Linked DNA regions of Mus musculus. The protein of the gene in region 2 interacts with the protein of the main gene of each other region in a pairwise test. Links are inferred from orthologs where the notes say so. Each region holds a gene or a part of one and is shown on either strand. Other genes may lie near its edges. The genes, in order: Pex7 and Phyh.

What was found.
Region 1: the proteins of Phyh (region 2) and Pex7 interact in a two-hybrid assay, tested with the Homo sapiens proteins (2 studies listed by BioGRID, with this or other methods). The link is inferred for Mus musculus from reciprocal best matches to the Homo sapiens genes PHYH and PEX7.

The regions. Positions count from the first base shown.
Region 1 is NC_000076.6:19,899,007-19,914,277, forward strand, and holds the start of Pex7 (peroxisomal biogenesis factor 7), read right to left. Parts: upstream 8,669-15,271; 5' UTR 8,568-8,668; coding exon 8,453-8,567; intron 6,897-8,452; coding exon 6,839-6,896; intron 5,708-6,838; coding exon 5,557-5,707; intron 1-5,556. UniProt on the Homo sapiens protein: Receptor required for the peroxisomal import of proteins containing a C-terminal PTS2-type peroxisomal targeting signal. Specifically binds to cargo proteins containing a PTS2 peroxisomal targeting signal in the cytosol.
Region 2 is NC_000068.7:4,910,601-4,925,846, forward strand, and holds the start of Phyh (phytanoyl-CoA dioxygenase, peroxisomal precursor), read left to right. Parts: upstream 1-8,395; 5' UTR 8,396-8,469; coding exon 8,470-8,544; intron 8,545-12,227; coding exon 12,228-12,286; intron 12,287-14,997; coding exon 14,998-15,108; intron 15,109-15,246. UniProt on the Homo sapiens protein: Catalyzes the 2-hydroxylation of not only racemic phytanoyl-CoA and the isomers of 3-methylhexadecanoyl-CoA, but also a variety of other mono-branched 3-methylacyl-CoA esters (with a chain length of at least seven carbon atoms) and straight-chain acyl-CoA esters (with a chain length longer than four carbon atoms).

The DNA.
Region 1 (15,271 bases), on a different chromosome or scaffold from region 2:
TTAGAAAGGACTCTTGCTCTTACTGTAGGAAACCCGTAAACCCTTTTCACTGCGGAGACTTATGAAGTTAAAGCAATGGTTTTCCAAACAATTTTACACACTGGAGTCATCTAGTACTCTAAAATAACCTTGAAAACTTGCCCCAGACCCGAGACATTGTAACCTAAGCATGAAAAAAGGTGAATGCATCTTAGATAATGCTAATGTTCACAAAGTTTGAGAACATTGCGATAAAACAAATATTATGCATACTTTTCTCATTTTAAATTTGGAGATTTCAAATTTCTGTGTTGTAGTCTAGCCCTAACAGCTACCACCTGAAGCAGGTCAACTGAGAATGTAATCTGCTTCTGTAGCTGGTAGCCGTTAGACAGGAGTATACTATACATGGAGCCTACTGGGAAATGACCCACACTGTTTCCCAACTTCCTCTCCCACCAATGTACCACACATAATGCATGCTCCAATCATACCATCTGATTCTGTTTGTTTGCATGACCCCAAACTACTGGAGATTAACATGTAAGTCTCATACATGCCTAGTGCACAGTATGTGCTACCACATAGGCATGTCTACTGCTCTTAATTCAAGTACAGGTTTTAAAATACTACATGGTGCTCCTTTAATAATGGTGGCAGATAATATAACCTACTGGCAGTCAAATTCAAAGAAAAGTAACTAGCACATTTCTAACAAGAAGGTAGTTTTCTACATAGTCAAAGAGCTTTAAATTGCCATTTTAAAGTATACTAAAATATACCTGCAGTAATCTACTCTAAAATAAAATAAATGGTTGATTGCACCTTAACATGCAAAAGGAAATACATTTGCTGATTTTTCCCCTATAATTATTACAACCCTTTAAAAGAAAAGAAGAGAGGCTGAGTGTGGCTCGGCAGCAGAGTGTTTCCCTGGCAGGCACAGAGCACTGGGGCTATCACCAGCATCACCAAAAATGGAAAAAAAGAAAAAAGTACCTTTGGTAGAGAAATCTTTCATGGTATTTTAAGTATAAATGTATCTCTAAATGGCCCATACTAATGTCAAATATATGGTAATCATTGTATATTAATATTTTATTGGTATTCATCAAAGGGTATATTATTAATTCATATTTAAAAGACAAGACATAAATCATTCAGCACATTATTACTATAAAATAAATAAATACACTTTCTCTGTGACAGAATAGGAACATGGCACTTGAAAACTACACATCTGCAAGAAGAAAAAACAATTCCAAGCTGGGGTCGTAGATCAATTAGTAGAGCACCTCTGCCTAGTACAGACGAGGCTCTGGGCCATGATTGCCCTTCCCAGCACCACATACACTGGGCATGCCCAGACAGACCTGCAATCCTAGCATTCAGGAGTCACAGGCATGAGGATGAGAAGTTCAAGGCCATCCCTGGCTACATCAGGAACTGGAAGCTAGCCAGGACCAAAGTGTCAGACAGAAAGGAGAGCAGGAGAAAGAAGTGGGAAAGAGTAACTCTGCAAATGGAGAAACCTTGCTACTCAGTGAGGAGAACAAATGTAGAGTGTTTATGAGTAGCCTAGCTAAGTGGAAATGAGACACTGGAGTAAACAGCGCTGACTCTGTACCCGCCTCACAGCCTCTCTGCTTTGTCCCAGTCACACAGCGCCGCGCCAAGTCCTGAAGCAGAAACATCATCTGAGTTCTCAGTCCACCTCCCCGGGGGGGCCTTGTTGTTTGTTTTCTGTTGTGTAGTTGTTGTTGTCCTTGATGACTTTGCAGTCTGTCTTATTCTTCCTGACTGGGGCTTAAAAGATGCAGTGGCCTCTGCAGACACCAATTAGACAACACAGAGAAGAATCTGACTCCTGCTTTGATGTTAAGTTTGGCCGCAAGCACCTGTACCCATCAAGTCACCTCACCCACCACCCCTTGATGTTAATTAAGTTGGTTTCTTTTTTCTTTGATTCCACCAAGACCGTCAATCCCAGAGCCTAAAACTGATCTAAATCCTGGATTTCTCCTTTATGTTCTGAGGAAATTCAAAAAAATCATCAGATACCACTACAAAAGCCTATGCTCAACAAAACTGGAAAATCTGGATGAAATGGACAATTTTCTAGACAGACACCAAATACCAAAGTTAAATCAGGATGAGATAAACCCTCTAAACAGCCCCATAACCCCTAAAGAAATAGAAGCAGTCATTAAAAGTCTCCCAACCAAACAAAGCCCAGGACCAGATGGGTTTAGTGCAGAATTCTATCAGATCTTCAAAGAAGACCTAATACCAACTCTACTCAAACTATTCCACAAAATAGAAACAGAAGGAACACTATGCAATTCGTTCTATGAAGCCACAGTTAAGCTGATACCAAAGCCACACAAAAACCCAACAATGAAAGAGAACTTTAGACCAATTTCCCTTATGAATATCAATGTAAAAATACTCAATATAATTACCAAAAACTGAAACAAAACAAAAATTAAATGTGATTTTTTTTCAATGTCTTCTCAGTTCCTTTAAGGGAACCAAACATTTTATATTAAAGTAGTATTTTAAATGATTTATTTTAAGATTCAGAAATGTGTCTAAATATATATTTTTCACTTATAACTGTAAAGCTGGAATGCAGTTTTCAGTTATGATGAAGAGCCTTGAGAAGGAATGAACAGGTTGACAAACCCACAATCTTTGGTGCTGCATCCGAAGCACGCCTTGTTCACCTCGGGACATTGCTTCAGGGCTTGGACCAAACTTCTTGCTCTGAAAGGTAATGGGTGCTGAAGCTGAGACTCCTGCACTAGGACTACCTGGATGCTGAGCGGTTTGTTTAGGAAACACCCTGTCTGGTGGGAGTAGGAGCTGCGTCCCTCCCAATCAGAGTTGAGGATGCTGAAGAAGGATACATTGCCTTCAGGTGGACGTAGAGCTCGGGATTATTTGGTCTTCAGGGCTCAACTGAGAATGTCAGAGGCAGAAGTCTACATTTTTCCCCACTACATATGTACCCAAAGAAGTCCCCAATAGCTACAACAGGAGGGAGCCAGGAGCCCATGTTTGTTAGACGCCATCTCAACGACAAAGCCCCACTTTCTCTGAAATGAACAGAGTGACAATTCCTATTTCCCAATCTCGAGAGACAGCCGTGTACTCCTGATCCTGTGGCACTCTGACCTTGGACTCAGCTTCTAGAACTGGGACAGACTTCTGTTATCTACGAGCTACTCAGCCTATACTGCTTTGTAGGCAGCCAATGGGCTTTCTTGGATTACCACATACCCTGGGACTAATCACAGAAACTCTGCCTCTGAATAGCAGCCCACAATAAGACGGAAGTCAGCATCAACACACGAGGGTGCACTGAGACAAACATCTGAAAGGCAGTTAGTTCACATGAACAAGCTTACCAGTAAAATAACAACAACCACAATAGCAATCAAACAGAAAAACCTGTCAAAGTCACTTTTAACTAAAGCCAAAGCATCCTGATGCAGATGTTTATCAAGAGTTGCCTTTGAGGAATCTAGACAGATGGCTCAGTGAGTAAGACTGCTTTCTGCAGCAGCATGAGAATAAGAGTCCAAGCTAATCCCCAGGAGCCTCATGAAAAGGCCAAGTGTTACTGTGCATCTATAGTACGGCACTGTCCAGAACAGAGACGAGAGGCCAGAAGAGCTTCCTGGCTGCTAGGTTAGCTCTGAGTTTGGTGAGACAACTCGTCTCAAAGAAATAAGGAGGAGCCTGATAGAAAAGGAAACCTGCATCCCCTATAGCCTCTGAGCACACAAACACACAACATACATGCTGCCCCATACACAGGTGCAAGCACATAGGTGCACACGTACAACACACACAGATGCCCCCACACAAATATAATCCAAATAAACCAGCATTAAAATTTTATGTTTGAGAAGAAAACAATCTAGAATAGTACACACATGACAAAGTTTGTCTTCAGCACAGCACATATTCAAAGCTTCAGAGAATAATGTATGAAACAAGAATTTGTTGCTAAAGAAAGCAGATTTGAGCACGAGAGAAGCCATTTTTCTGACCATGATTAGTACAATCTAAAAGTCAAATAACTAATTCCAGAAATAGAAAAATTCATAAAGGTCAGCCATCAGGGACATTGCAAACAGAATTTCCTAGAGAATATAAAGAGACCACTAGGTATATGAAAATGATATATGCATTAATTACATATCTACTTAACATATGTTAAAAACAAATACATATCTAGGAATCTTGACTATTACAAACAAATAAATGTATACAGCTGTGAATCTGATGGCTCGTGACTAAACAAACAAATGCATGCAGCTGTGAATCCCATGCCTTGTGCTTATTACAAATAAATGTATATAGCTGTGAGTCTAATGGCTCAGACTGTTACTTTTAGAGGTGATGTAGCAACTGAAGGTAACTTAAAGGAAACCATTAAAGCAGCACCCCACTTCCATTGCCCAGTGATTTTTCCAAAACCATGGTAATTTACAACCATATTATTCAAGGAGCCATCCCAACACAATAAAGTAATTTTATTTTTAGAACTAATTATAGAACTATTGAGTTTTTTAAAATAGTTATAACTATACAATGTTATCTAGGATACTCACATCACTCAGTTTTTTTTTAAACAAAACAATAATGACCTTCCATGTAATGAACACTTGTTAAAGGCCTGAGATGAGGCAGGCATAAAGGTAGGTAAAAGCTAGAAAGCAATCTGTAAGTCGTCACTGAAGGCTCTATTGCTAAGGTATAAAACCAAGAAAGAATGTCTTCATCACATTCCTTAAAACATATGCATGCATTTTGGTATTTCCAAAGTATAAACTAGTTCCTGCGCCTCATATTACACACACACACACACACACACACACACACACACAGAGTCCAGATGACACAAAAGTCATATTTAGATTTACGTTTAAATTTGCTTTAGGGGGCTGGAGTGATGGCTCAGCAGTTAGGCATGCATACTGCTCTTGCAGAACACCTGAGCAGTTCCCAACACCCACACCAGGCAGCTCGCAAACGCCTGTAACTAGTTCTCTGGGGAAACCCAGTAATTCCAGCTTGCATGAGTGTCTGAACTCACTCTTGTGCACGTGTGCGCACACACAGTCACACATACAAATTTACAAACACTAAATCTTTATTTTCTTTTAGTGAACTCAGCCTCCTAGTTGGTACTTGATGCCGCTGTTGGAATACATTGAGTCTTACTGAAGCCTGCAGACAATCGTGAGAGAGCCTGCGAACAGCCCGCCCACCCTCTCCTGAGGCACTGCGTGTAGGCGTGTTCATAGGGCATAAGGAAGGCTGAGGCCCTCTGGAGGGAAGGATGCCACCGTGCCTGCTAGAGGCACTGCTGTTGCCTAATGAGAAGCCTGACCTTTTCTTGTCTTGTCTTAGGCTAAGAAGTACTTTATGTTTGAATAACAGAATAATAAGTGACATCTACTATGAATAAGAAACATTAAAGCTTAACCTTGTCCCCTGAAAGCATTTCCCTGTGTTCATCCCAAAGAGATTTCAAACAAACAATAAGGGAAGCCATCATCATACCTCCTGCGTGTGCTCTTTATAGACTTGGAGAGGGCCTGTGGCTTTGGCAGTGTCCCAGAGCTGCAGTGAGCCATCACCACTACAGGTGACAAGGACATGCTCATTGTTTTCACTCCAGGTAACGTCAAACAAGCCGTCATTCCAGTCAAAGCTACGCCAGAAAAGAAAATACATGCACTGCAGATCACAAAATGATTAACATCTTAATTTTATAGTTACTGTTTTTTTCCTTGTTTTTCACATATTGTAACACACATTACCTCAGATGATCTTGAAAACTACAAGAGATAAATAGAGCAGGTACTCCACAGTGGCCTGGAAGCACAGCCCAGGAAGGGCAGGTAGATAGCTCCAAAGTTAAACTGAAAGGAGGTTTCCAAACACTCATATGAGGTATCCACCAAAGACATGCTGACATCACCTGCTTTTATTGTAGTGCACCTGTGACTCACAGCATGCACTTGTGAGACTTTCAAAATACGGAGACCAATCATTTCAAATACTCCCACAAATCTTTCTTCATCTGAGCTACGAGCAGGTAGTGGCTTTCTACAGAATCTCTTTCCTCTGCCTTTGACTAATCCTGATAGAAGTAGCGTGTGTCCATCACTCAACCTGGAAGACAGGTCCAGAGAGAAACACTGGGCAGTCCACAGGATGAGCGCTAGCTCTTGCTTAAGGAAACTAAATTACTAAGACGCTCACTGTTTTACGTTTTAAATGTATAATTTATAAGCAGACACTAGTAAGCTTGAGAACATGGCATAATCATAGTTAGCAAAAATAATTTCTATATGATGCCAATGTAAAAGTTTATTTTACATCATAAATTAAAAACCTATTAGTTCCAAATATTCAAAATGCAACTGCATTAAGACTTTGACAGAGGTTGACTGTATATGTACACTTAATAATTAGAGCCATTATAATGGTTTGAGGAGAATGGCCACCACAGGCTCTTAGGTTTGAATACTCAGTCCCTAGGTGATACAAGTATTTGGGAAGGATTTAGGAGATGTGGTATTGCTGGAAGAAGTGTGCCACTGGGGCCAGGCTCTGGGACTTCAAAAGACTTGCCCCATTCCCAGAGTGGATCTCTCTGCCTCCCATCTGTGGCTCAAGATGTGAGCTCTCAGCTGTTCCTGTAGCCATGACTTTGCTCCACCATTATAGACTCTGACCCTGACCCACTAAGATTATAAGCCTAAAGTAACTACTTTCTTTTGTAAGTTGCCTTAATCTTGATGCCTTATCACAGCACCAGAAATGTCAATCACTTTACCTTCTAAAAATCTGAAGTCCAGATTCATTTTGATCCAATACTAATAGAGTTCCACAGCCTAGAAGAAATACAAAACAAAACAAAGCCCTAAGTCATGTTGTTTAACCTCCTGGGAGTCATCTATGATGAAATCTTAAACATTGTGGACCAGCTTTAACTACCACAAATTTCCCATAAAATAACTGCAACCGTATATACAGAACAATTAAAAGTTACATAGTATGCTTCAGTCCTTAAATATCCAACTTACCATCTGGCCAGACTGGAATCGGAACACCAGTCTGGGGAAACGCATCAGAGTGCCAACTCACACCGGGCCTGGTGCTAGGCACGCAAACCTTTCAAGCTGGAGCTAATAACAGAAGACAAGGAAGGCTTGTGCTTACAAACCCCCAAGACTGTGGTTCTCCCCTGCTGATACACGCAGAACACACCAATCACAGCATTTTAAGACAGTATATGTGGAAATACCATATACTCGTTGGTCAGGTGTTGAAAACAACATTAACTTCAGTTATGTGCCAACAATCAATAATTTTTGCTGAAAGACTAATGTCTCTTTCTCTCCCCCATCTCACACTCCATTAACATCTGTTCAAAGGGAATCTGCACTTGAACTTTACAAGGTAAGATGACTAATTACTATGCTCACATGCACATTCAACTGTTCAAACTAGAGTCTTCACAGAATTTCGCTTTGAGTTTTTGTGATCAGTGAGGTGGGTAAAGTGTTAAAGATCTTCCACTTAAACGTAACTGATGAAGAAGAAAAAAAAAAGTCAACTGTCAGGTCAGAGACCCGACCCCTTCCATGTGCAGAGCCAGCTTCTAATCCCAGTACCCACTTGGCAGCTGACAACCATCAGTAATGGATCCAACACCCTCTTTGAATCTTCTCTTCTGACCTTAGCTGGCACCAGGCATGGTTCACAGACATACATACAAGCAAAAAACTCAGACACACACACAAAAAATCTCTAGAAAACAATTCCTAATTATACCAATTTCTTGTAAGAAACCTTTATAAAAGTCTAAAGTTTGATGGCCAAGAACTGTGAACCCAACCGTGAAAGCACTAAGCACTAATGGACAAACTATACGGAAACAAGTTTATTTACCACTACTTTTCAGAAATCGTATTTTTTTCCTGCAGTAAACAAGTATTACAGATCACTGACATTATGCAATGGTTTGCCATACACTGCTCCTGTGCATAAACAGCAGATGGGGTATAAGTTAAAATAAATGGCTTGAGCACTTAGACATCTCTGCACATTTATCCACTTCCCCTAGAACAACTAAAAGCGAGCACAGAATTTTCTAGTTTTTTTTTTTTTCTTTTTCAAGAAAGGGCCAGCGTCTCCCTAAGTCTCTGTTGAGGATGGCTTTGAACTGGTGGCTCTGTTGACTCCACCTTGCAAGTACTGACAAGTGCATCCTTCTTACAGAAGGGAAAGGACTAGCTGTAGACTTCCCCTGGGCTCCAATGCCAACTCCGCAGAAAGGGGGACCTAGGAGGGAGGGCCGAGCTCTGTCGCCCCCTGGCGGTGGCGGCGGCACCGCGCGCTCAGCGGCGCGTCCTACGCCCGCCCCGGAGGCGCGGCCCGCGCTCACCCGCGATGCCGTAGTGCTGCGCCGCGGCACAGGCCAGGCGGCCCGGCAGGTACGGAGAGAACTCGGCCGCATAGCCGTGGCGGCCGGGCACCCGCAGCGTCCGCGCCGCGCTCATTCCGCTCGCCCGCCGTCACTCGGCCTCCCGGCCCGAGCGCGGAAACAGTCTCGAGGTAGAAGTGCCCCACTGCGGCTCACTGAAAGTCCAGGAAGGCCGGGCGGAAGTGACGACGCCGACGCCCGGAATCCTAGATTTTGATTGGGCTACATAGAAAAGGGAACTGACGCCGCGAGGACCATTTTTCTTTTGGGCAAAAATCCAATGATTTGCTCTAACTAAAATCAACTGGTCTTTCAGAGATTATTCTAGACCTAAAAGAGAAGATACTCGCTAGGAGTCACTTCAGACAGTTGTTCACGTTTAATTGCAACCTCCATGTTTTTTTTTTAAATAAAAACCTTGTGTTTTTATTAATTGCTTGAACTTTAAAACTTTGCTATTCTGACATTTTCCTGATGGTTACGAAATAAAAGCCACAACAAACTCGGAAAGCAGTTAGTGAGTCCAAGGGCAACGAATGGAGTACTAGGTTGCCCAAGGTAATTTGAATCCAGACAACAATGAAGTTAAAGGATAGGACTATTATCATGTGCAATTTGCGGTCTATAGGTTTTATGTAGTTAGTTGCACTATGCAGATATATTCCAGTAATTAAGGAAGACTTGGGCTCATTAATTTCTTCATTCAAATGTTTGCCAAGCATATGCAATGTGGTAGATGAATGTGCAGTTTGCCAAACCAAACACTGAAGAGTGAAAGAGACTTGTTAATCATTAAACCAGTCAACCTGCACAGACCAAGTCATGTACCAAGCTTGGTGCTAGACTTTTGCATTCAAAAGACCCACTGGGATACGTGGTTGAGCTCAAGAGATTACAAGACTTGAAAGCTGTCAAGTGTAATCAAAATGCTATTGATGCTGTGATGAATATACACAGATGTTTTTAGGGTAGGGTGTCAGGGAACATTTTAGAAAGGAGATAATCTAGGGTGAATTCATACAAATGACTTTCTCTAACTAAAAAGTTGGAAGCCATTGTGGGATCAGGAGAAGGGTGAAGAACCCAGGAAACCTAAAACCGCAAGGGATGGTAGCTGCCAGGACTCAGTCTAGCCTGATAGAGAAAGAGCACTTTGGGTAGATTCCACCTGGTGAGAGAAAATCAAATGCTCCAACATGAACTCTTGTATTGTACCCCATGCCCAAGGAACTGTGCTGCAGCTTAAATAATAGAGATCTGTGCAAGTTTTCAGATATGGATCATTTAGTGAGTTATCATTCCCAAGCAACAGTAACTGGAGGCTAGAGATTGGCAATGGAGTACAGTTAGAGACTTTAGCAACAACTCAAGCAGAAGATGCTATAGTTGGGTAATAGTGTTTTGTTGAGAATTATGGAAAGGTGTGGAGAGGGTACGCTTAAGGGTCAAATGAAGACAAAAAGCTTAAATGGTTTCCAACTCTTAGTATAGTACTTATCTAGACACAGGAATTGTTTATTGAAATAAGGACAATGGAGCATTAATAAACTCCAGTTCTGCATGTTGACTGTGTACTGTGTGCAGTACTTGAATACAGCACAATGGAGTCCAGCCAAGCCTTCTTACTTGCATGTAGATAATATTTAAACCACGGAAATTATTTTTATTTAGCAAGAGAATGGAATGAGAGAAGACAGATAAAGGCAGATTTGGGGCAAACAGCCACATGGAAAGCTGGCAGTGGAGAAGCTATGGAAGGGAGAGAGATCCACAAGATGGGGACTGTAGACTCATTTATTACTTGGGGCTGGAGAGATGGCTCAGTGGGTAAGAGCAATGACTGTTCTTCCAGAGGCCCTGAGTTCAATTCCCAGCAACCACATGGTGGCTCACAACCATCTGTAATGAGGACTGATGCACTCTTCTGGTGTGTCTGAACACAGGGACAGTGTACTCACATATGTTCACATCACATAAAATAAATGTCTCTTAAAAAAATACTGCTCAAGCCAGGCATGGTAAATGAATGCCTTTAAACCCAGAATTTCGGAGACAGAGGCAGGTAGATCTCTGAGTTTGAAGCCAGCCTAGTCTACAGAGTGGCTGTCCTGGGGACAACCAGGGCTACAGAGAGAAACCCTGTCTCCAAAAACAAAACAACAAACAAACAAGAAGTATTTTTCAAGCTTGGAAGATTTGCACACTATTTTCAGATGTAGATTTAAATGCTTAGAAATTAGATTTGCATCAGGCAATGACACAACAGAGTTCTTATGGCTATGTAAGTATCTGTTTAGGGGCCTGGTATCTCTGTCCATAGCAGTACTAAATGCAGACTGGACAAAATATGGAAATTATTCCAATAACAGCAGATAACCTATGCAAATATTCTACCATTCAACTAGCTATAGCCCTGTGAAACTTTACAAGGGTGGAAGACAGGAGGATCACTGGTATTTAACTGGTCACCAGTCTAGCTCTGGGTAGCAGGGGAATAAGGTGGAGAGTGATAGAGAAGGGACATCTGATAGTCTTCTCTGGCCTCAGTGTGTACACCAAGATGGCTACCTGCACACAAATGCACATAAAGCACACACACACACACACACACACACACACACACACACACGCTACTCTGAGTGATTCTCATACGCTAACTACAGTACAAAGAATAAAAGCACATTTAGAGTAAAGTGTTCAGCTTTGTCAGGAACTTAGAAAATGGAAGCAGACACTGGACCTGTTAAAGGGATGGTATGCCCCAAAGCAATCCAGGATTCTGTGTCGGGAAGGCAGAGGGAGCATGCCCTCACACACACTAGGCAAACACACTACCAAGAGCTACAACCCAAGTCTCAGACTGAGTTTGCTAAGATAGTACATGCAGGGTATCACTTGGGCAATGGAAGGCCTGGGAATGATATGATATCTTCCTTCTGGAACCAGAAGATACCACCAGACCTGAATTCCTCACATGGCTCATTTTTAGTTATTGCCAGCTTTACTGCTTTAAGTTGAAATTTGAATTCCAGTGATATTTCATTTGTATTAGGCAATGAGTATGCTACATGTAATACTTGAGTTACCTTGGAAGTTTACAAGCATGGGAGGTATCTGCATGCCTGTTTGTTCCAGGAGCTTTACACTCAGGTAAACCTGAGGTCCAGTGCATGTGGTATCATTTCAATTACACTACCTGTGTGCTGTTATCAAGGGTGACACAAGATGGCTTACAAAATCCTGAATCGGTGTCAACATGAAGACCTCTGTTGCTCATGTTTGCAGACACTCGAAAGTTCAATTCCAAATTAAACTACTATTCTGATTAGATAAAGAGCAATTTGAGCTCATGAGTAAAAGAGCAACTGGCCCCTACTTTTCAAAAACAGAACAATTTTGTTTTGTTTTATTCTCTCTGCATATCCCTGGCTGTCCTGGAATGCTCTCTGTAGATCAGGTTGGCCTCAAACTCACAGAGAACCACCTGCCTCTGCCTCCAGAGTGCTGGGATTAAAAGCATGCATGGACATTGCTCAGCCGAGAACAATTTTTTTTTTAAAGAAAGTATGATGCATTAAAAAGTAACTCTGTTGGCAATGTTAAGTTAACTGAAAAGTTAGAGTCATGCAGACATATACTGTATGCCAACTTCTCTCGAGACTGGTATTCCTCTCTGTTAGCTTTCAGAGAAAAAACATTCAAGAACCTTAAAAATGAAATTAATTTCCTTTCTCCATCTCCCTAAGACAATTTGCCCCCAGATTTCGTCTGACCGGCTTCACTGTTGCTGGTTTGCTTTGAAGCTGACCCCAACCCAGGAATGGTCTTACCTTCCTGTCTCACAAGGAAACTCTGTCCTCTTAAGCTTCTCCATGAATCTGAACGCTTCCAGAAATTCCAACCAACTATAAAATCGAATTTCTGATTTTTTAAAAAGAATTCATCATAAGTCTATGAGAATTAAAATTGCTTTTCTTATTTTTCCTTTTTTTCAAGCCATAGATCGTCTCCTCTTTGTAGCAAATTTGATGAATAAAAATGTTTGTAAGATGACCAATATTAAGACAGCTTTATAGTGGAGAAAGCATGGCTGAGTAGCAGAAGACTCTGTGTTTTGAAAAAAGGCACTTGGACATTTGGGGTTGTGTTCTATTAAATGAGCATAGTGGGTCTAATCTTTTTTAAAAAATCTTTTTATTATAACTTTAAGGCTTCTTATAAGGAAAATCCACCATACTTGGAAGATATTTCTATTCAAACTAAGTCCAGCAGAGGGTAGCCAAGCTTTAGCCTGTGTTTCCGTCATGGCAGGGTAACATTTCCTGTCAGTGGAGGACCTGTCAGGGAATCTTAGTTAACAAAGCAAATGGTTGAAAAGTGTGCTCCCTGAGAGCTATAAAGCAATGTCCCCCAAAGTTAAAACTATCTTGACCTAAATTCATTTTCTTTTTAAAAATAGTATTTTTTAGATATTCATCCAAATATCAAGGATATATATTTTTATATAAATTTTTAAGAAAAAAATGCACATACATGGTAAATAAATATCTGGACAGTAAATAATGAGAAGTCTTTTCATGCCAGATCCTTTAAATTTGGGTTCTAATTTTCAAAAAAAAAAAAAACCTTTTATATATCCATGTATTCTGAAATTGAAGATTTAACCAATCTATGGAAAATATTTGAGGAACCAATTATGTTATCAACCATGTAGTGACATTTTTCTTCTTGCCTCTTTCTCCAGACAATACAATGTGTGGCAGGAAGTTCTCTGAAGACTCACATCTATTTTGCAGAGCCAGCAGGCCGCCGCTGGCTGTCTAAAACATTAGGATTTGCAGAGCAATGGACTATCCCACATCAAGCGCCAACGTCATCTTTGGCTAGCTTTTGTTCAATAACCCTTTACTATCAATATCTGTATCTGACTTAACATCAGTTTGAGTACTAGATAAAACCCTTGGAGAGTCTGGCTAAGCAGACAGAGCACCTCCTCCTGACTGTAGCCCAGCTAGGTGACTATCTTCTCCACTACATAGGGGGTTGGAGGCCAGACTGGGCTACCTGAGACTTTGTTTCAAACTTTTAAAAAGTTGCTTTCTAAGGGGAAAAAAAGTGAGTGAGTGAGTGAGTGAGTGAGTATGTGTGTGTGGCCTCCTGGTAAATAAAATCATAAAATGATTCAGTGAAGAAAAGAGGGAAATATGCCGCAGTTTCTCTAGGAAGAATGGAAACATTGGACGTCAAAATTGAACAAGACTTACTTACTAGTCCTTGTATTCTTTTATTACTTTTTAATTGTATACTACAAACAACTATAATAATCTTGGGTATTATTCCATATCAACCCATATTTTTATCATATACATTCTTAGCAACCCAGAAGGCTCCAAATTTACTTGAAGTGATATGGGCATATTTTTACCCAAAATAATATTGCTATGAACGGGCTTTGTAGTTAAGCAGATTCAGGTTTAAAAGCAGGATCCATCACTAGTCATCAGGACAATGTGGTCAGTGTTCCCCTTCAGCGTCCTTATCGTGCACGGATTTAATGATTAGTTCCTAAAACAAAGATGTAAAGAACCCAGGATTATGCTGGGCACAGAACATTCTGCCACATTGTCTTAACTTGTGATAAACTAGATTCTGCCCCTGTCCCCTATATCAAACCCGTGTACTAAAGCTCTAACTTCTCCATGTGACTGTATTTAGAGATGAGCCTACATGGCACTAATTAAAGCTAGGCAATACCATGAGAGTATAGTCCACATACAGTAGCACTGGTGTCCCTATTAGAAGAGACAGAGTTGTCAGTTCTTCTCCTTCTATGGAAAGGCTTGTATACACTGCAAAGGCAGCCACAGAAAAGCCAGAGGAGTCCTTTCACCAGAAACCAAGCTTGCAGGCACTGTGATGGAAATCTACCAGAAATGGGGGGGGGGGGGGAGGAGGAAATGCCTGGGTTTTTTTTTTAATTAAATTTTATTTTTGTTAATTTTGGATACATTTTGAGCATATTCTTTCCCCTCCCCGAACTCCTCCTAGATCTTCCTTGCCTCTCCACCCCACCCAATTTCATGGCCATTCTCATTCAAAAGGATAATCAAAATAAACTAAAAGAACAACAAGACAAAAACCACAGACAAACAAAAAAGTGCTTTAAAAATGTGGATTCTGGCAGGGCAGTGATGGCCCACGCCTTTAATGCCAGCACTTGGAAGGCAGAGGCAGGAGGATTTCTGAGTTCAAGATCAGCCTGGTCTATAGAGTGAGTTCCAGGACATCTAAAGCTACACAGAGAAACCCTGTCTGGAAAAACAAAGCAAACAAACAAAAAACATGAATTCTGTTTTGTGTAGGGTAACTACTCCGGGTCCTGGAGCCTCCCCTGGAGAGTGTTTGATACACCCAGTAACACTCCACTGGAGGAAACTAACTTTCTCTTTCCCAGCAGGTGTCAGTTGCAAATAGTTTCCTGGGGTGGGACTTTGGGTCCACTTCCCCTTCTCTGTGCTGAGAGTTTGTCTGGTTTGAACCTGTGCAAGTCACGCAGGTGTGTGCAGTGACAGAGTCTCTGAGCTCATAAGTGCATCCAGTCCAGTTGTGTCTAGATGACAAAGTTTCCCCTGACTCATCCCTACCTCTTCTTCAGCACGGCCCCCTGAGCCCGGAGGGTAAGGGTTTGATAAAGCCATGAAACTTAGGACTGAGTGCTCCAGGTCTCTCCTGCGTGTCTCCACGTTGTCCAGTTGTGGGTCTCTATGTTAAATAGCATCT
Region 2 (15,246 bases):
GCAGTCAGTAATTTGAAAAAAATCAGAAATGCATGTTTCTCACTCGTGAGGCTAATTCAACTTACCCAGGCAGCTGCAACAGCTGTAAACCTCACTGACCTCCATCCATCTTCTGCAAGTCCATCCAGCCCAGTGCGTCTGCTTCCAGTGTTTTACACCACTCGAGAGTCCCGAAAACTCTGAAAATGTAAGCATAAAAACATTCTTATGAAGAAATTAAAACCAGAACAGGTACTAGAAATGTCTGTTTTACCACCTTTCCTTTTGTTTTATATATGGATACATATATATATCCTATATATGCATATATATATATATATTATTACTAGTAACTGCATGCATGCACACATCATTGGAAGAGACACTTGCATAAGTGAATTGCTGATGTGGTTAGTGGGAGTGGGTAAAAATTTACCAGTATACAACATCCTTCTTTTTTTTTTTTTTTAAGGCTTACTTATTTCATGTATGTATGTACACTGTCACTGTCTTCAGACACACCAGAAGAGGGCATCAGATCCCATTACAGATGGTTACGAGCCACTATGTGGTTGCTGGAAATTGAACTTAGGACCTCTGGTAGAGCAGCCAGTGCTCTTAATGGCTGAGCCAGCTCTCCAGTTCCAGTTACAATGTCTTTATTCAGATCATCCATATGTTCCTCCATATGCAGCCCTCAAGGCAGTGGTCCTGGGATGTGAAAGGAAAATGGCTGAAAGAAATGAATGAGCATACCTGATGCTAACATGGCTCCCGCCCTGATTTCCCTCAGTGATGAATGGGACAGAAGCTGAAAAAAAATGCATTCCTCCCCCCAAGCTGCTTTTCATCCATGGTGTTTGTCACAGCAGAACCCAGAGCATTCTTTGAATGAAGATGCCATAAGGATATCTCAGGAATTGGCTGAAGCCCCAAAGGTGAAGACATTTTAGCTTATGCCTCCCCCACCCCCAAGAAAAGTGTTTCCCTCTACCTTCAGCCATTCTGGAAATCTGAGGTCCCTGCAGCCCTAGTACCAAGGTTCCAGGCTGCAACTCAAGAAAACCTCAGCATCCTTCATGTTGTGGTTTTGCAATGTGCAGAGGAAATGTCTTGGATTGTTAAGGGTAGAACAGCTTTCAACTAGATTTCAAAGACCTGGGAGGCCAGGAAACTACATCAGGGTAAGAAACCTTCCAGGCAGTTCCCAGGCAGGCGTGATGTCTGAAGCTCTGGGATGGAAGCTGGGGCTTCAGTGGAGACCCCAAGGAAAGCTGCAAGCAGGGAGTAGAGCCCACCGAAAAGGGACCATGTGGATCACCACCAGCAAAGCTGCTGGGGTTGGAGCTTGCATTTTAACTGCACATGCTCCAATCCTGGGCACCGAGCTGGGTTTAATGTTTGTCCTGCTGACATTTGATCCTGATTTGATCTGACCATTTCTTGCTATTTCCTAATCCTTTTCGACTGGACATACACACAATTAAGAATAAAAAGATTTTAATTTTTCTTTTGAAGTTTTGTTTTTTTTTTAAGTAGTTCTTAGCCAGAATGCCAGAACTGACTGATGTTTAGGCTAAGCATGAGCATGGTTTTTGGCCGAGCACTCGCAATTTATAGGGATCCAACATCGGGTGCTCACACGGGAGCCTATAGGGGATATTTCACATTCAAGCCATACCCATGACTGCCATGTTGGTATTTCAGCTGTGGCAATTACTGCAGATGCTGAACTCTTCTGTAATTTTATGCAGCAGAAGTATTCCTTGTATCTTACAGTCTCTTGTCTAATTGGAACCAAGACCCAGATAGAAGTGTAAACTGAGGCTGGTGACATAGGTCCTGGAGTTTTGCAGACCTATCTGTCAGCCTGACTGCAGAGCTGTGCACAACATAGTCCATTCTCGATCAGCCCATATTTGGAAAGGCACACATCTGAGTTTATAGAGTGCAGCTTAAATGAACTGGTTTGCCAGGGACTGTGTGCTATAAGAGCTGATTCCTATAGGAACATCGACTAAAGACCCCCAAAGAGGGGGGACCCTCACTCAAGTCTCAGGATGACATGACCCCCCAAGAACTCAGGAGAGACCGTCCTTGCTGCAATCACACGAGGTTTATTGATAGGAACCAGCACGCTGGGGCCGACTCTGGGAAAGGGGGTATTAAAAAAAAAATAACCCAAGGGTGTAGGGAGGGTGTTATTGGAAAAATCAAAAATGCCAGTGAAAAATCACAAGGTGGAACTAAAAATCACAAGGGGAAATTCCCTGCTTCTCAAGATTTTAATCTAACTTTTGTGGTCAGCCAATTCCTGGAACAGGCTGCTTCAGGGCCCAACTATTTTTCTTTCTTGGCTCCAACTTGGTCTAGGGATCAAACTTAAATTTCCTGCCTTACACTATGAAGAATGCATCCATAGCTGAGATTTTTCAGACCTGCTTTCGATGATGGTTCTTAAATGCTTTAACCTCCCTTCTAGCCCACCACCCAGCAGAGGCAGTGGAAAAGAAGTGGACCTGTTTAGAAATTGGTCTCATTCTATTAGGCAGAATATCACAGTTCCTGTTAGATCAGTTGAGGAAGGTGTTCTTCACTTCTTGGAAGATCCGAGGTAGATAGCAGGACAGGTAGAGACCATGGGTAGGTAGTGTGGCACTTTGAATAAGTATGGCCCCCATAGACTTAGGTGTTTGAAATGATTGGGTAGTGTGACCTTGTTGGAGGAAGTGTGTCCTATAGGGGTAGGCTTTGAACTTTCCTATGTACAAGCAATACCCAATGTGGCACACGGTCCCCTCCTGCTGCCTGTGGATCAAGATGTAGATTTCTCAGTCCCTCCACACCAAGTCTGCCCACACCCTGCCATGCTTTCCTCCATGATGTGTGGGGCAATGGGCTATGCACAGACAGCCTGGTCTCCAGTCCAGCTAAGGTCTTGAACCCCGGGTCTTGAGGTGGGACCTGGTGGGTGGTAAATTCCACCTACATGGGACAGAAGGCATTCGATCATGTCTCCTGGACCCCTGGTTCCTGTCGAAGTTACCGCCCCCATAGCCCCCCCCCCCCTCTCAAGAGAGGCTTGTGGCTATCAGTCACGTAGACAATGTTCCAAGCTTCTGGCATTCTGGCTAGACTCCTTCCCACAGTTACCTAGCAACAGCAAGATAGCCAGCCCACTATAAGAGGGTCTGCTTGGCCCCTCCTTTCTCTCTCTAAGCTTTTACCTCTCTTACTCTGATTATTAGATAACCTCTCTCTCTCCCTCTCTCTCTCTCTCCATGTGACCATGGCCTGTCTCTCTCTCTTTTTACTTTCTCTCCTTTCTCCCTGCTTTTCTACAATAAAGCTCTAAAACCATGGACCGTCTCTGTTCATCAAGGCCCGCTGAGCTTGAACAATGGGGATAGGCTTTCTCCTAACAAGCTGAGTCTAACCTCCCGCCAGAAGGCCTTCCTACACTGCAGCCACAGACTGGACTAAGGACTCTTGCCTGTGTGGGAGCCACTCAGTGCCCCCCTCTAACTCTGCCCTCTCTTCCCTTATCTCTGGGCCAAGTGCTGCCCCCTGGGCCCCTATTCTGTTCTCTGCTCCTTCGCCAGATTCAGCGTGGGATGCCAGAGGCTGAGAACCTGGTACCTGGAGTTGCCCCTTGTCCACAACCCGCTGTGTGGGGTAAGTGGCTTGACACAGGTGCCCACCTTGGGCCACACGGAAAGCATGCACAGTCCTCCCGTGTCTGCCCACTCAGAGCACTGGAACTCTGGTGGGATGTGGGTTTTCTCCCATTCCCCTTTTTCCCCTACACCCACAGTCCCGCAATGATGATAATGGAATATGCCTCTGAGAATGTAAGCCAGCCCCAAGTAAATGATTTCCTTTATCAGGGATACATGGTAATGTCTCTTCACAGCAATAAAACCCTAACTAAGACAGATAGTATATCCCCAAGGGCTCACCTCCAGCTAGGCCCCACACCCTGTTTCCTAATATAGTGCCACCTCTGGGGGAGAAGCATAAGAAACATAAGCCTTGGGCTGGAGAGATGGCTCAGTGGGTAAGAGCACTGACTGCTCTTCCAGAGGGCCTGAGTTCAATTCCCAGCAACCACATGGTGGCTCACAACCATCTGTAATGGGATTTGATGCCCTCTTCTGATGTGTGTCTGAAGACAGCTACAGTGTACTCATATACATAAAACAGACCAACAAATAAATATTTAAAAAAAAACAAAAAGAAACAAACAAACAAAAAAAAACCCAAAAAGCCTGGGACTGGATAGGATGGTGTGTGCCTGTAATTTCAGGACGTGGGAGGGGGAAGCAGGAAAATCAGGAGTTCAAGGTCATCTTCAACTTTATAATGAATTCAAGACCTACCTGTGCTTCATGAAGATCTTGTCTCAAAAGTGGTGGAGGTAGAGAGATAGCTGAGTGGTTAAGAGCATTGGCTACTCTCATAGAAGACTCAGGTTCAATTCCCAGCACCTACAGAGAAAGAGAGAGCAAGAGGTTTCCTTCTGATGTGTTAGACATTTTTGTAGAGAGAATCTCTTAGAAGCATCACCTGTCAATAAAAAAGCCTATGGCCAATGAGCTGAGGCAGAATAATGGGAGGTGGGACACTGGCAGGAAGAGAGAGGTTCTGGGAAATAGAGACTAAAGGGAGATTCAAGAGAGATGCTAGGGAGGACCCTGAAGGAGGCCAGTAGGGAAAAAGCAGTCAGAACTGAAGGAGAGGTAATAGGTAACTAACAGGAAGGTAGATGAACTCAGGGTAAAATAAAGGGAGATTTGCCAGGGACCACTGAGGAGGCAGAAGCATGAGACCTGAGCAGAGGTAACAAGTCACCCAGATGAACTCAAGAAGCATGAGATCTGAGCAGAGGTAACAAGTCACCCAGATGAACTCAAGAAGCATGAGATCTGAGCAGAGGTAACAAGTCACCCAGATGAACTCAAGAAGCATGAGATCTGAGCAGAGGTAACAAGTCACCCAGATGAACTCAGGATGGAGTAACAGGAGAGATTTCCCCAGGAGCGCTGGGGAGACGAACATAAACCAGCGGGTAGCTGCCCTCACTTTAGGATGAAGAGGATGCCCCAGACTTGGACAGAAAGCTGAGGACAGGTGACTAAGCATGTGGCAGACAGAGAGCAGTTTGAATGGTTAAATAAGTTTTGAGCTAGTCAGGGAATGAGCCAACGATAGTGGCCTAGGCATTTCTTAATAAATAACTAGTCTCAGAGCTTCACTCCTGATCAGAGGCTGGGAGGGAAAATGGATTTATTCTTTATATAAATCTCAGTGGGGAAAGAATCTGGAAAGAGAGCTCAGGATGAGGGGTGAGAGGTGACAGAGTCCTGCCATAAATCCTGGGACTCAAACTCCAGAGAGCAGCGTCAGGGTGCAGATGTGAGTTTATTGTGCATAAGCTTACATACAGTGAGCCAGGCCCTTAAATCCTCAGCCAATTGTGTCTTGCCATACCATCACCATGCCCCAATGAAAGCCCTGCCTAATAAGGTCACTCAAAAGGGGGGGGGGGGGCGGGGAGTGTCATCACCTGTTAGGACTTCTGTGAAGAGGCGGGGCAGCCACCATCTGGCCCGTGTTCCATTTTGCTGTCTCACAGGTGTTCCGGGAGCCATCTTAGATCAAATCCCAAGTACAGCAGATCAGGGCTCTTCGATCCTGTGGCGCTTCTCTCTCCATTCCACTTTTTCCTTCACAAGGTTGACCTCCACATCCCCCACAAAGGAGGGTGGTGATGGTCTTCACCTTTGACCCCAGCACTTGGGAGGCAGAGGCAAGTGGAGCTCTGAGTTCAAGGCCAGCCTGATCTATAGAATGAGTTCCAGGGAACTCTGTTGCAAAGTGAAAAAAAAAAAAAAAAAAAAAAAGCAGAGAGAAAAACAGAGACACAGAGAGACACAGAGAGAGGTCTTTGGACACATAGTCTGGAGTTTAACATTCCAAGATAGGGTTACAAATCTGAGATCTTCTCCTGAAGGCTGAAGTTTAAAGTCTGAGGCTGGAGGAGGTGACTGAGAAAGCTGGTTTTCACAGAACGAAGATGTAAAAGGACTGACTACAGATCTCAGGAGAGGGAAGGTCAGTCAGAAAAGGAGGGAGAGGAAGCCACTGCGGGCCTACTCCACATGGCCGCACGCAGAGGATTGCATGGGATAGAATGCAGTGAGACAGAACCCCTAGATGAGCACATGGTGGCCGCTTGCGAAGAGCAGCTCGTTAGCAGGATGAGCTCAGAAATGACCTGGGCTTTAGAGAAAATCAGGAGAGAGAATCTAGGACTGCAGATATCATCTATCATTCTTTCAGGATTGGCTATGAAATCATTTCCTTTGCTTTATCTGCTTATTATTTTTATTTTTGTTTTATTGTGTGTGATAGCTTACTGTTAGTGTGCTTGCCTCTTATGGGGGATTCTGGGTTCTAAGCTCAGTTACCACAAGACAAACAAACAAACAAACAAAAATACAGGTTAGGAAACGTTACACACAGAGCCAGGAGGAAATTCTATCTTGAGTGCCACAATCTCTCATCCTGTGCTGGTCTTATGTCAGTTTAAGACAGATTAAAGTTAGCTGACAGGAGGGAATCTCAAGGAGAAAACGCCTCAAGAAGGTCCAGATGTTAGGCATTTTCTTAACTAGTGATTGATGGGGAAGGCCCAGGGCATGGTGGGTGGTGCTATCCCTGGGCTGGTGGCCTGGGTTGGTGGTCCTAGGTTCTAGAAGAAAGCAGAGGCTGAACAAGCTATGGAGAACGAGCCCAGTTAAGCAGCACCTGTCATGTTCTCTGCTTCAGCTCCCACCTCCAGGATCTTGCCCTGTTTGAGTTCCTGTCCTGACTTCCTTTAATGAGGAACAGATCAGTAAAAATGTAAGCCGAATGCACCCTTTCCTCTCCAACTTCCTTTTTTGGTCATGGTCATGGCGGCAATAGAAACCCTAAGACAGGCCCCAAAGCCATAATTCTCTCTGTTTTTTAGGGAAACCAGTCATCCTCAGAATGACGGTCTTAATCTTTCAATTCTGCTTGAGGTGACCCAAATTCAGACTAATTTCAGTTTTGTTTTCTTCCTTCTCCCTGCAGTTCCCATTTTGCACCAGGTGAGGGCAGTAAGAACACACCTATTTCCCAAGTGGGGGGTGGGGGGGGAATGCAGTCAGTCCTGCTTTTAAACTGTGGGCTAATTAAGCCGGTCTCTCAGGACATGGTCAGGCTTCCACCAGGTTGCTCAGGCTGGACAGATGAGGTTGGGAGATAAGCAAATGACCAAGCCGGCCCTGGGAGCTTCAGCTAAGCGAATCTCGTCCTAAAGGTCAAGGCACAAAGGGCAAATCTCTGCAACCTGAAAACAGGAAGTAGCCAGCTGGTTACTTGCTTGTCTCTCCTGGACTATGGCACTGTCACCAAATTATCTAATGAAAGCATTTAAGAAACAATAACATGTTTATGGAGTAACTAGAAGCAATCTAGAAGTAACTCTCTTAAGAGACCGAGAGACAAAGAGATTGAGATTATGTGTAGTGGTTGAATTTCAAAGACTTTAGGAAAACAGTTTTGTTTTGTTTTGGGTTTGGTTTGGTTTGGTTTGGTTTGCTTTTTCGAGACAGGGTTTCTCTGTGTAGCCCTGGTGGTCCAGGAACTCACTTTGTAGACCAGGCTGGCCTCGAACTCAGAAATCCCCCTGCCTCCGCCTCCCAAGTGCTGGGATTAAAGAAAACAGTTTTTAGCTACATAAGAAATTTTACATGTTATACTGGCTGGTGAGATACACAGTGGTTAAGGGAGCTTGCTGAACAAACCTGACCATCAGAGTTCGATCCCCAAAACTCAGGTGGTGGAAAGAGACTCAACTTCCCTGAAGATTATTTCTCTGATCTCCACAAACAAGGATGCAAACATACATACATACATACACACACACACACACACACACACACACACACACACCACACCCCATCACCACTACCACCACCACACACAAAAATGTAATGTAAGTTATCCTAGACCGTGTGGATCGCTCTTCTTAAAAACTAACAGCCAAACTTTCTAATATTTTAGGATGAATTCACGCTAAATTTAATGTCTCTTCTGAATAACACAGATGATTTTAATTTTTAGTGGGAGAACTAGTCACATAGATTAGTTGTTCATAGATTAAAACTACCAAGTTAAAAGGGTGGCTCAGATCCCTAACGGCCTCGGGCTGCTCGGCTTGCATCACCCCAGTCGCAAAATTTCGGACCTTGCAGATTAGAACAAAGACACAGCGGCGGGGAGCAAGGACTCCAGACAGCCTAGGCTCGCTCCCTCATCCCCAGCTCCCCAACCCCCAGCCTGGGGGAGGTGGCGCTGTGTCCTGCCCTTGGACAGAACTCCACCCTCTACTAGGAGGCGGGGCCTTGCCGTAAGTTAAGTGTGACCTGGGCGCAGCAGTTTCGTCTGCTGGCCCCCACCATGAATCTTACGCGCGCCGGCGCCCGGCTGCAGGTCCTTCTGGGACACCTCGGCCGACCCTCGGCCCCAACGATTGTATCCTTTGGGCTGTGGAAGGGCTCACAGGCTCGAAGGAGCCTCTCCGCCCTGGTGGTGGCTTCAAGGACATAAGAGAGCCTCTGCGCCGCCATCTCTTCCCTGTCTCCATCCCTAGGGTTCCCGGGTGGAGGCTGCATCCCCAGAGAGCCCTCGTCTTCTGGAAGGGCTCTCTGGTGGGACTTCTCTAGGCAGCATTTTGAGCCTTCAAGAAACCGTGGTTTCTTGCTGGTGTAAAGCGGGAAGCATAAAGCGAAAGGTGACGACGTCATCACAAAGAGGCTTGCCATTTTTTGAGTTGACTTCTGCATCCAGAAACACCAAGGACAGTTGCCCACAGGTGCTTGCCTGTGACCAAGGCCGGCAGAGGCAGGGATTCTCAGAGGTCAGGAGGAGGCGCCAGTCGCCAAAAAGAGAAGGCTCAGGACCCTGTCCAGCAGGTAGCTAGCTGCCCATCTCCACCTGCCCTCTGTCTGTCACCATCCCACTAGCTGTGTAAGCTCCCACTCCAGGGGCCAGGTGTCCCCAGTCTCCTGAGGACTGAACTGGTTCCCGGAAAGCGACTTCAGAAGCGAGTGCCTGGTGATAAATGCTTGTGATCCCCCTGGGAGGTGCAGGTGCAGACTCGAGGGTTGGTTGGTTGGTTGGTTGGTTGGTTGGTTGGTTGGTTGGTTGGTTGGTTTTTCGAGACAGGGTTTCTCTGTATAGCCCTGGCTGTCCTGGAACTCACTTTGTAGACCAGGCTGGCCTCGAACTCAGAAATCCGCCTGCCTCTGCCTCCCAAGTGCTGGGATTAAAGGTTCGTGCCACCACCGTCCGTCCGGCAGACTTGAGGATCTTAATGGCCAGCCATCCTGGCCAAAAGTGACAGACGGTCTAAAAAGCAAAACAAAACACTAAACCAAGGCTTGGAAGCAGTTATGCACACGAACACGTGTGTGTACACACACATCACACACAAACACATACATGCATACACTCAGACTCTTGGGGGATGGGAGGAAGCATCAAACTGTTGGCCCCTCGCCCTAGAAATTGCTAAAAATGAATGGTTTAGGGTTTTCAGTGCCTGCCACCTCCGAGGCTGATCATAATAGTTGTTTATTTGGCCTTCCCTGTTATTCTGCCTGTGGGGCTTTTGGTTTATAAGCAGCGGTGTGCCAGGCTTACCTCAAGCTTAAACTCTACAGGCTAATAATGTAACTTCATTTTACACTGAGAAACTAATGGGGAAAGACCCTGATTAGTGTGTATTGGACTAAAGCAGTGGTTAGACCTGCAGGCCATGTAGGGATGGAATATCACAGTCTGGTTTTTTCTTGGCAGTTGGATGTTTGCTACATTTTGAGAACCTTGGATATACTGGTACTAGATGTATTTGGACTGAAATTGATGCAGTCTCTTCACTACTCTTTGGATCTTATTGGTTGCTTGATTTTTGAGACAGAATCTTATCACGCATCTCTGGCGAGCTGGAATTTGCTATTATAGACTGGATTGGCTTAGAACTCACAGAGACCACCACCTCTGCCTCTTAAGTGCTGGGATTAAAGTATACACTTTTTTTGTTTTGTTTTGTTTTTCGAGACAGGGTTTCTCTGTGTAGCCCTGGCTGTCCTGGAACTCACTCTGTAGACCAGGCTGGCCTCGAACTGAGAAATTCACCTGCCTCTGCCTCCGGAGTGCTGGGATTAAAGGCGTGCGCCACCACGCCCGGCAAAGTATACACTTTTAACTTGAATCATTTTTCAATTTAAATGGCCAGATGTAGCTAGCAGCTAGTATTGGATATTAGATAGTGCTGACCAAGAGCCATAGGGAATATATTATGTAAGTAGAGTTCTAGAAATTGAGGCCGTATCTCCTCAGCCTTAATTTGCTTCTAAGCAGTGTGGATGCTGGGCAGTGGTGGCACACGCCTTTAATCCCAGAATCTGGGAGGCAGAGGCAGGCGGATTGGATTTCTGAGTTCAAGGCCAGCCTGGTCTGCAAAGTAAGTGAGTTCTAGGACGACCAGGGCTACACAGAGAAACCCTGTCCAAAAAAAAAAAAAAGCAGTGTGGATTAGGGAACAAGGAATGTTTTGTATTTGCATAATTGGGGTCATCCTGGGTCACAGCTTCTGCGTCTCTTTTCACTTTACCCCACCCACACCCCCATCTCTGTCATATATTTCAATATCATTTAACATTTCTCCCACATCATCAAAGTCCAAGAAACAGTGGAGAAGGGCCGAGGTGACCAGTTTGGAGCACTGAGGTCTATATGTCCTTGCGGCAATGCTATATTGGGAAAGTTGAACAAGAGTGGGAATTGTGAGGCTGGAGATGTGGCTCAGCAGTTAAGAGCAATGACTGCTCTTCACACTGGCTACTCTTTCAGAGGTGTCCTGGGTTCAAATCCCAACAACCACATGGCAGCTCACAACTGTCATCCAGCAACAAATGACCTGACACTCTCACACAGACATACATGCAGGCAAAACACCAATATGCATTAAATACGTAAATAAAAAAGTAAATAAATAATAGATAGTTGGCAATCACCTTTAATCTCAGCAGAGGCAGACAGTCTCTGTGAGTTCAAGATCAGCCTGGTCTACATATCAAGTTCCCAGTCAGCCAGGGCTACGTAGTGGGATTCTGACAAAAAAAAACAAAAAACAAAAAAAAAAAAAACCAAAAAAACAAAGGACAAAACAAAACAACAAAAAACAGAAGAGAAAGAAAGCAAGAAAAACAATAAACCGCATATGGTGGTGCCTGTCTATAATTTCACCTGGCAGGAAGTAAGTGGGGGGCAGGAGGATCAGTTCAAGATCATACGTGGCTACATTATTAAGCTCAAGGCTAGCTCATGTAGCATGTTCTCTGTCTCTAAAAGTCATAAAGCCTTAATTAATTAATTAATCAATTAATCAATTAATTAATTAAAAGCAATCCAGGCCTGACAATGCACACCTGTAACCCCAGCACTTGGAAGATGAAGGCAGAAGAAACTGAGATCAGATGGGCTATAAAACACCCAGGCCCTACCTTAGGTGCACAGTGAGATCCTGTTTCAATAAATGAGTGAACACGAGTAGATGGCAAGTTCATGTGAAGTGACATTGTGGGTCTCTTGGTGGGTTTGAGACCCACAGGCTTTCACTGTGTGGCCCTGACTGGCCTGAAACCCACTCTGTAGACCAAGCTGATGAAACTCAACCCCCCCCCCCTTTGCCTCCCAAGTGCTGGGTTCCACCCACACCTGTGTGGAACTGACACTCCAAAAGCAGCAACACACGGTCTACAGAGTGAGGTCCAGGACAGCCAGGGCTACACAGAGAAACCCTGTCTCGGAAAAACCAAAAAAAGAAAAAAGATAACAGAAAAGGGCTGTTCCTAACCCGTAGTTACTGAGTGACGGTTCAGTGTTTACTTCACTGGTGTGGCTTGGACTTTTTGTGCCCTAATGACGTCCAAGCTCCTTCCAGTTTAGCCTGCAGTCACACGAGGCCCAAGCTGTGCTCTCCCTTCTAAAGCGTGACCTTTGGTATCTTATTTGCTCAGTAGCTTAGCACAAGGAAACCCTGGGACTGGGGCTGACTGGAGCTACAGGTATAATCTGGGGGATTTGTGGCTGGTGTTTGGCAAAAAGGTTGTCTCCTGCCTTCTTCTTTCTTTTCCTTAATTCTCCCCTAGGTAGCCCAGCCTGTATCAGGGTTGGCTTCCCCTGCCAGTTTCCAGCCTGAACAATTCCAGTAAGTAGATCTCATTTTTGCCTGTTACTTCACTGTGTATGTGTTCTGACTAGTGTGTTACAGCAGCCTGACACAAGAGTTAATCATCTAAGAATCTGGATTGAGAAATGCCTCTATAAAATTGGGCTGTCGGCAATCTGGTGGATTTCTTAATTAGTGATTAATGGAGGAGGGTCCAGCAGCCCATTGTGGGTGGGGCCATCTCTGGGCTGGTAGTCTTGAGTTCTATAAGAGAGCAGGCTGAGAAAGCCATGGGGAGCAAGCCAGTAAGCAGCACCTCTCTATAGCCTCTGCATCAGCTCCTGCCTCCAGGTTCCTACCCTGTTTGAGTTTCTGCCCTGAGCTCCTTCAATAATGAACAGTGATGTGGAAGTGTAAGCCAAATAAACCCTTTCCTCCCCAAGTCACTTTTGGTCATGGTGTTTCAGCTCAGCAATATTGACCTTAACTGAGACAGCTTGTAAAAGTTTTTCTAGTAGTAGCTGGGATAGAATGTCCACTGTACAACCAGGTAACATAACATGCAGCAAGCTACCCAACTAGAATCCATGTAGAACACACTTTGCTTCCAGAAAATGGTCTACCAGTACTGCTTTGGGGAACTATGGAGAACCTAAGTTTTCTTAACATAGCTAAGATCCAAAAAGAAGTTAAAAAAAAAGAGAAAGAGAGAGAAAGAAAATACATAATTTTACCCTTGAAAAATCCAAGCATCACATGTCACGTTACTTTACTTCTATATTGGTGTTATTGACATATTGGCTAGCATTTTGAAAGAGAGAGAGACACACAGAGACAAGAGAGTCAGAGAGATGAAGAGACACAGAAAGAAAGACACAGAGACAGAGACAGACAGACAGATACACACACACACACACACAAAACACAATGGAGAGAGATTGTGTGTAAGAAGCAAGGTCTCACCAGGTCTTGAGCTTAGGACTCTCCAGCCTCCTGAGCAGCTGAGACAACTGTAGTCCAGCACCTGACATGAGTATTGCCTTGTTTTTAAGGGGAGCACCCAACCTTCATGAATATCGTAGACAAAGCCACAGCACCAACCTTAAGGAGTGGGTGGGTTGCTTCTGAGAGTGTACTGACTAGACTACTTAAAATGTATGATTTGGGTGTGGTGTGTTCCTGGAATCCCAGACTTTGCTAAGGCAGGAGGTTCCAAGTTCAAGACTGCTACAAAGTGAGACCCTAACTTAAGAAATATTTATCTTATACATATCACATATACTTCATTGAATTGATCTTCCATTTGAAAGACAATGCTTATTTGTAGCCATCCAGTGGCTTAAGGTCGAGCAGGGTCACCTGAAAGGAGCGCTGGGAATGAAAAGGCTGTGGGCCATAGAAGAATGGAACCAAGACAGTGTTCTGGTCAAGGCTCAAAGTTTATTTCTGCAGCTCCAGCCTATAGGCACTTCAGCCATCAAAGCCTCTTGAGAAAATCCCTTTACAAACTTAACAAAGATAGGAGCTCCTCTTGGCTACACACCCTGCTCCCATGACTTTGGCTACACACTCTGCTCTCATGACTTTGGCTACACACACTACTGTCATGGCAGTTCTCTGGCTCTTCACACTGTAGAAAATTTAAAATTCAGAATTTTAAATCATTACTGAAAGGCAACCATTGTTTTAAAACAAAACTGCTTTGCAACTGCTCAGCTACAGACATTGACATGCCCTCTCTCCTTCCTCTCCCTCTGTATTTTGTTTTATATGATTTTTATCCTATTATAATAAGTATGCCCACAGTATTCTGCCCTTCATTTTTAACATCTATTGTACAGATATAATTCCTTGGTTAATATTTTTTTCAGTAATACACATTTTTGGTGACTGTACCTATGTTTTGGACTTAACACTCTAAACTTTGTCCTCACTACTTCATTAAAGCAATACACATAGAAATGTTGAGTTGAAAAGTACAAATGCAGGCAGGCTGTGGGAGTACATATCTCTGGTCCCTTTACTCAAGAAGCAGAAGCAGGCAGATCTCTGAGTTCAAGGCTAGCCTTGCCTACCTGGCAAGTTCCAGGCCAGTTAGATTTGGATAGTAAGACAGATTCTTGGTATGAAAGACCTCCGTGGGGATAACCCCACCCGAGTCAAGAGATAGCGTGCACCCAAAGAATCAAGAGAGACCATCTTGACGTAAACACACAAGGTAGTTTAATGACGGAGCTCCGGGCTACACGTATCTCACGCAGGAGACAGAGGTGTTGACCCTAAGGCTCAAAAGTTAGGGGTTTATATAGGAAAGGAGTGGGGGGATAGGGGAAATTGGCACAGTTACACACAAGTGGGCAGTTTAAACATCAGTGAGCAGTATGTGACAGTAACTCTAAATGGAGGGTGTTTATCTTGGTTGGCAGGGCATCTGGCTAAGCTCAAACCATATCAGCAGGTAGCCCATTACTCATCTGAGATTGTCCTTGCCTTTTTTTTTTTTTTTTTTTTTTTTTTATCTCAGTGGCTAGTTGGTTCCTGGGATGACTTTACAGCCTTTGTGTCCACCCGCCCGACTCTCTTATCTTTATGGCTTTAAGTCTGTAAACCTTCTGACTAGGGCCTTGAATAAACCTTCTGGCTAGGGCTTTGAAGCCTTGAATTTAGTTTTCTTTCTTTCAGGTATACTGCTAGCTTGTAATTTAAAATGGGGACTTACTTGGAGGCTCTTTTTTTTTTTTTTTCTTTAGGTATACTCTGGATAATAATGTCCTCACCCTGGAGCAGAGAAAATTTTATGAAGAAAATGGGTTTCTCGTCATTAAGAATCTGGTATCTGATGATGACATTCAACGTTTTCGGTATAATACTTCTGTTTATGATTTTACAAAAAGCTACATTATATTGCGTCTCAGCCTTTTGGCTAAGATCAAGTGCAAAAAGCTGCATTACATGAATGCAATGGTAACACAGGTTTAGACTAGCTTCTGCGTGTTCAC